Bombyx mori: one gene and its partner. The protein of the gene in region 2 purifies or fractionates together with the protein of the main gene of each other region. This does not show direct contact. Links are inferred from orthologs where the notes say so. Each region holds a gene or a part of one and is shown on either strand. Other genes may lie near its edges.

What was found. The genes of interacting proteins can lie anywhere in the genome.
Region 1: the proteins of ras suppressor protein 1 (region 2) and integrin-linked protein kinase purify together in Homo sapiens (affinity purification with mass spectrometry; 9 studies listed by BioGRID and IntAct, counting the BioPlex papers as one, with this or other methods). This does not show direct contact. The link is inferred for Bombyx mori from reciprocal best matches to the Homo sapiens genes RSU1 and ILK.

The regions. Positions count from the first base shown.
Region 1 is NC_085117.1:15,195,630-15,198,853, forward strand, and holds the end of integrin-linked protein kinase, read right to left. Parts: intron 3,104-3,224; coding exon 2,915-3,103; 3' UTR 647-2,914; downstream 1-646. UniProt on the Homo sapiens protein: Scaffold protein which mediates protein-protein interactions during a range of cellular events including focal adhesion assembly, cell adhesion and cell migration.
Region 2 is NC_085115.1:769,671-773,826, reverse strand, and holds the start of ras suppressor protein 1, read left to right. Parts: upstream 1-1,258; 5' UTR 1,259-1,305; coding exon 1,306-1,456; exon of another isoform or gene 1,457-1,744; intron 1,745-1,838; exon of another isoform or gene 1,839-2,150; coding exon of another isoform or gene 2,151-2,301; intron 2,302-2,744; coding exon 2,745-3,035; intron 3,036-3,357; coding exon 3,358-3,440; intron 3,441-4,156. UniProt on the Homo sapiens protein: Potentially plays a role in the Ras signal transduction pathway. Capable of suppressing v-Ras transformation in vitro.

The DNA.
Region 1 (3,224 bases), on a different chromosome or scaffold from region 2:
TTGTAGGCATCGTTTATAGTATTACAAAGTTTGCTTTTTTCTTGTTTAGAAAGTATTATTGTATTTAACCTCTATTGTGAAAGTGAGTTTATAAGGCATCCCGTTATATTGATACTGTATAACTAACTGAAAATTAACCTATATCTATTTAACTAGGTAGCTATCACATAAAGTTAAAACAACTTTCTAAAAACATCACCAAAGACGTATTTGTTTCTACATCAACTTAATAGTAAAATATGTATTTATCTTGCCTTGATCACAAACGTGTATGAGAATGATAATAGATTTATTTCTGTAAGTTTTGTAATTTTATAAAATTCAAGAAAAGAAAAAAAAAAAATTTAATTTGATGTTTTTTATTTCCCACTCCTTGACATAATAATATTATGTTGGTTAGAAGCCTCTAAATATGTGTAGAATCCTTAAAAGATTGCGGAATAATGCGGAACACAGTTATTGTTGATCCAAGAACAAGTGCGTACTACGCACTGAAGCTCAATCAAATAGTATATTATGAGCAAATCGTACTGCAATTACTTACAATTGTTTTTTTTTCGTTCAATTTATTAACTGTCTTCGTGTAATGGGAATCCCACATATTTAATACTAGAGGGGAAAAAAGGAAAAAAAGCAAATCTGCAGCTATTTTAAAAAAACAACCATATATTGAACATTTTATTACATAAAAATATGTATTAGTTTTAGTTTAGTTATAGTTAGTTGTTAAATTACACAACTGTATTATTATAAAATTGCCATTTTTTTTTGTTGCCGAAGACAACAAAACAAAATATATATATTATGATGGGTAGTTACCTCTATGTATCGCCACCGGCTATACCGGAGACGGTCAGATCTAGAGTGTAAAGTACCTTATCTCGTTTGAAGAGAGACATTTAAACCACTATTTAGGGTCATCAAGAACATCGATGCGTGGTCAACTAAGAAACCAACCCACTCCCTCTACTCCCTCGACTCTCCCGGGGAACTGATCTGGCTTTTTGCTTAAGGAAGCAACATAGCGCGTGATATTATACAAAAAATGGTGCGCGTACAACTTGGTACACGTGAATGAAGTGAAACTTCTTTTTCGATGTGTAGTATTGTGGTTTTCTTCATTCATCCTTAAATCAGATTACTCTTGTAATAGGGAATGCTGTGTATAAGAGATGCGACATCTTCAACAATTATATCATAGATAGAAAAATAAATATACTGGGTGTTAGCAGACCACTTCCGAAAATGAAGACAGACGATAGTAGTAATGACACCTTTCATGATGGGACGGAAAAAATCAATCCTGATTTAAAAAAAAATCATATTTGTAAAACTTCTTACTAGCATTATTTACGCTCCAGTCCTATGTTAGTACAGCTAAATGAAACGATAGTTTCATGAAAAATACGTTACTCTACTAAAAAAAAACAGAAATGAAATATTTTTTTTCCGTCCCATCATCAAAGGTGTCATTAGCACTATTGTCTGTCTTCGTTTTGCGGAAGCGATCTCCTAACACCCAGTATTTTTTTTTAAATACTTCATTAAAATATTAGACGCTACTCGTTGCTAACGCTCGCGCTGGCCTTTAACAAGTATACTACGCGCATGCGTTCGAGTGCCACTCATTCACTCTCGCTCTGTCTCTTTCTATTCCCCCTCCCCAGGAGCGTTAAACGTTTAACGCAACCTTGTTGGAAGTCGCATTAGAAGTTTCACTTCAAAATACACGTTATGTTTCTTGGACCAGTGCCACCCATCGTAAGTTGGTGAAGCTATAGCAAAAAAAAACGTAGCTTTAAAATATCGGATAACTAGCGGGCGTACAGACCCGGTTAAACAAAAAAACACACATTAATTTTATAATATATTAGGATTAGATTACTACAAATCAAGACCTCATTAACAGTATTAAGGCACGCTTATGTCACATTTCACATTTGAATAACATTTTAAGATACATTTATAAGCTATTATTGTAAGACAGAGATTCTCTAAATAAATACTATTTAATAGTTATTTGACAAGACAACATTGAAGGCATGAGAGGCATTGATGATGATTGACATGACATGATTTTAACTTATCCAATAGAACATTTCAAATTTCAATTGCTTCTAATGCATATAATATGTATGTATATAAATCTTTGTAGACCATTTTTTGACAAGTTCTATTTAGATAATTCATCTGAAAATAATGTCTGTTAGTTGACCTGAGTATATTATGTATTTATAAATACAAAAAAACTCAAGACGAATCTCTATGCGAATTTTCCTTCATTCAACGTGATGCTTGGATCTAGAAAAATGGCACTTATTTATAAAATTAATATTGACCTCGGCGGGTATGAAATATATTATTATTACGTTAATTTCATAATACATATATATTTTTCAAAATACACCATTTAATATTATAAAGCTTACTTATTTTAGTATTATATATTTTAGCACCGATTTAAATATTAGCATTTATAAAACATTTCTCGTGTTAATGTTACATTTTCATTACCATTAAAACATAAATCAAAATAATCTGAACACAATCTAAATAGAACGATTACGCAACAAAAAATTAAAAATAATGGCTGCTAGAAAAACCTTTAAGTGCTTTCATGTTTTTGTTACACGTATTAAACAATTGTTTTAGTTGTTCGGTAATACGTAGGATTTTTTACATAATGAAGCCATTGGGTATTGTATTATTTTTAAATAGATAAGGCAATGACTTTATTGTCAATTTAAAAATATATTAGATCTGGTCAACGAGTATTAACAACACATGACACATCTCTATAGTGTTTAATCTTCAAGATGCCATTGCCTTAATGAAGTAAAAAAAAACGTATCAAAACCATTTGAGGAAAAAAAGTTACCAAATTAAAACGGATTAATTGTGTCGTTCAACAAAATCAGCGTTTCATCTTCTCTAAAATCGGTAGGATCATTTCGAAAGATGGTCGTTTCCCGGGATCCTCGTTCATGCAGATCTTGATGAGTTTCGAGATGTGAGGCGACACGCCCGGAGGTATGCTTATACGAAGACCTTCAAGCGCTATCTTCATGCCGCACTCCATTGGTGACAGATCCGCGAATGGTATCTGCGTATAAAATTAATACGTTTTTGAGAGAAACTAATCATGATTTTGCGAAGTCGTATCACAAAACATTTTTCAGTCGCATCACAAAATGGTTTTGGCTATCCCTAGATTTTAGACTCCC
Region 2 (4,156 bases):
GCAGTCTATACAACTAAACTTTAAAAAAAAGACCGAAATCATATCTGTTGAATGAAAGAAAAATTAATCACAAAGATATCAAATTGATGAATTAAAATAACCTCCCAATAAATTCTAAAAAAGTTTGGAAACTCAGTAGATTTTTTAAGAGAACTCGAGAACCATCGATTTTATTTCTCGCATTTCGTAAATTCGAGCATAGTTATTGTTACCATAATTATCAAAAATGTTTAAGTGTAAAGGCGGCAGATAATGGCATGGAATGGTCCGTAATAAGCTCTTGTTGCGAGGAGGTGGTCACGACCCTCAGTATTGAGGAAACCGAAGCAAGAAGAAGAAGAAGTGTAAAGAAACTTCAAAACCAACGAAATAATACAATTCGTATAGCCTCTTAGTATACTCTCGACAAAATTTCCCCCGTAAACTTTAATAGGGGTTTGATTTATATAAATAATGTTGTAGATTTAATTTTTTCAGGTCTAGCTAAATTTAATTCTGTATGTCTTCTACCATTATGAAATGAAATTGATATTTATTAAAAATGTTTTGTAAAATGTACATAAAATGTAAACCCATCGAGCCTATTTCTGTGGTGAAGCAGAGCATTCTTATTTAAAACATGGAATAGCTGATAGTGCCCAATGCAATGATAACATTTTGTCTTAAAGTCGGCTTCAATGGCTCAATTAACCTTGTAATATCCATGGGAGAGGGGACAAACAATTATACCAAAAATAACTAGAAAATTTACTAAAATAACTAGGTATATGTACGACTTTTCTTCATTTTTTTGTCAAGATCAAGAAGCAACAACTTACCAAAGCAAAATGGTATAAATTAATGTTCCAGAGCGTTAATTATTCATTCTTCTAACATATGTTAGAAAGAGACAGACATAGAAAGAGAAAGAGAAGAAACGAGGGAAATAATCATTTCAAATTTGAAAATTATTACAATGTAAAAAATAAAAATACCATAAATGTTAAAATATATATAGTAAGAAATGTCTCAAATTCTTGATCATGTTTAATCTTTCTTTCGTAAAGAGGCGAAAGCCCTAAAAGAAGAAAGTAGTGATTGATTTTTCAATATTTTTCATCTTTTTGTAGTGATATTCTAACAGTCTATCGGGATATTTAACAGACTACGATATATAAATATATTAGACAAGTAATACCCGGTCAAATAGAAAATATTATGGTAAATAAAAAAAAAACAGGATTTGAAGGTTGATGCTTAACAATGTTAATTTTAAGGTTTGAAACGCGATTGTTGTTTGGGCGTAGGAAAACCATCTGTTTGATAATGAGTCATCAACCCCCAGTATCTTGTATTCCAAACACAGGCAAGATGTCGAAAGCTAAAAAAGTTATTGAAGAAGCCAAAGAAATAAATAATCCGGAAATCGATTTAGTCGACAAAGGAATATCTAGTCTCGAAGAGATTCCAGGCTTATGTGAGTGTCAAATAAAACCTGTTTTGTATCTTTTTTTTTTAACTAAATATTTTTAGTTCGTTTCAATTTTTACATCTATGTTTCAATAAAAAAGCTTAGATCGAAACCTAAGCTTAATGTATACTTTCGAATTTTAATTTATTCTACAGTTAGCTAATTTTAAAAACTAATAAATAACTGAAGTATTCTTACAATAAGTGTATTCGCCTACATAACCGTTGCAACTCATCTATAATAAATATTTTGAAGACAACAAACATGAAATATTAATTTAAACCTCATTTGGATGTAAATTCTCCAATGTTAACATTATATTAAACATAATAATATGTAATATAAGGTAAAAAATTGAAGTACTAATTAAAATATGACATCACTGCAGACCTATAATTCAAAATGAAACTCCTACGCCTTAAGACGGAACAGGATCAAACTTACGCTTAAAATAAGCCATGAAATATTGAAAAATGTTTGCAAGTTCCACACTACATTAGAACCATCAGTCTACTCAGTTATGGGTTTCAAGAAACTATGTGATTGAATGTACTGATGAAGAAATAGAAATAAAAGAATAACATTGCAGTGCTTTATCTGAAGGAAACAAACATCTTAGTGTCTTATGTGCTTATTAACCATTTAATATTAGAAGATTTGTGCATAGGGCCCACCTAAAGGCAATTAGTCACTGTTGTGCATGTGCTCAGTAATTATAGGGCAACAGCCATACTGGTCCATACTATTGAGCACTCCACAAACCTCATTTGAAGTAGAACAGGAAGGAAGGGAAAAATGGTGGAGGATAATTTATTCTAAAGCTGGATACAAAATAGCAGGAAATATGTCTGGTAATGCATTGTGGATGAATGCAGTGGTACCACATAGTATATTTGAATTGTGTTCTTGTGGTGGGCAATACAATAGTAAAAAGTAAATGAACAAATTCTTAGAGCACTTTCCAAGGAGCATACAGTACAAAAAACAGAGACAATTTACTTGTTTAAGACAATTTACTTTAGAGGGAATTCCTTCTGTAAACCCAAAGACTACAAATTGTCTATGTGAATAATATTATCAACAACATGGCCCTCTTTTGTATAGAAACAGATGGTTTGACCAGAGATGTGAGCAGTATTCCATGTGTGTCCGAACTTGTGCTTACAGATCAATGTATGATAAGAAAAAAGTTATGTAGCCCAAAGTATACAATGAGAAAACTATTTCTGTGATGACTTTGTATGCAAATATTAAATTCAAATAAAAATCTACCCAAATCTATTATCTTTTACAGTTTCTCTGGAGAACATCACTCGTCTGTCCCTAAGCCACAACAAAATCTCTGTAGTGCCTGCTGCACTAGCCAACTTGAGCAACTTAGAAATTCTAAACTTGGCCAATAACAACATTCAAGAGCTTCCAGTCAGCTTATCATCACTACCCAAGTTAAGGATCCTCAATGTTTCATTAAACAAACTGTATAACTTGCCAAGAGGCTTTGGTTCCTTCCCTGTGCTAGAGATATTGGATCTAACATACAATAATTTGAATGAAAAAGTATTACCTGGGAACTTCTTTATTATGGGTAAGTTATTTAAAATCATTTAAAATCACTAACTCTATTGGTTTTCTCACCCAGTTGAATATTCGTCTCTGGAACAACTATTGAACACTTTATCTCTAAGTACAAAGGCTATAGTGTGAATCTTTTTTGATGTTGATAGCAATAATGGATGTAGATGTAGGTCAAAATTTGTATGGTAGATAATTGGCTCCACCTAGTATCAAATGTGATTTGATACCTGCAATTCCATAGATATACATCAAAAGTTTACTATACAATTACATACATCTCACCACCAATCATGATGATTGACTAAATAGTACTTTTAATTCACTATTCACAGACAGTCTCCGTGCTTTGTATTTGGGTGACAATGATTTTGAATTTCTACCACCTGAAATTGGAAATTTGAAGAATCTACAAATTGTAAGCATTCTTTTAATCATTAGTCAAACTTTTAATTTACCCATGATTAGTGAGCTTTATAGACCACTCCATTAAATAACCTCTTACAGACCTGAGATATTTGAGTCTGCTACCTATAATATCTAAACTATAAGCGGAAATTGCATCCAAGCAGCATGCTGATATATACTACACAGACGATGGCACAATGCACAGCTTTCGTCGCCCTAAGCGTGTCAGATCCTTCCGATCCAATTAGTGTTTTAGTTCTAGTTAAACTTCTTGAAAAGTTCCACTTGTAACTTAACCTATAGACACAATCTGCTAAGTTTTCGCCGGATCTTCACAGACAGTCACAATTTCGATACAAGTATTAACAAGTTCGGTTGAGCCTGATGAGCTCATGTGCCAAAACGTACATAGCTGAATTAGCCCTTCGAGGCGAGCAGCGATTAATTATGGAAAAAACAATGTTATTGAAGAAGTTGGTAATGAAAAATACACAATTGGGGGATATCATTGTATGAAAATAGATTGTCTTAAAAATATCTATTTTTAATATAAGACCAAATCTTGTTTTTTATTGTTATGTTTCAAGAGAATTTTCTTAAGAGTGCTATATTTAGTGAAGGAATTAATAGAAGCTGTTTTAGTTTACAAATCGACTCATCTAGGATTCTTTATATATCTAGCTAATAGTTGTAAACCAATCCGGTCGTTTCCATACACAAACAGGA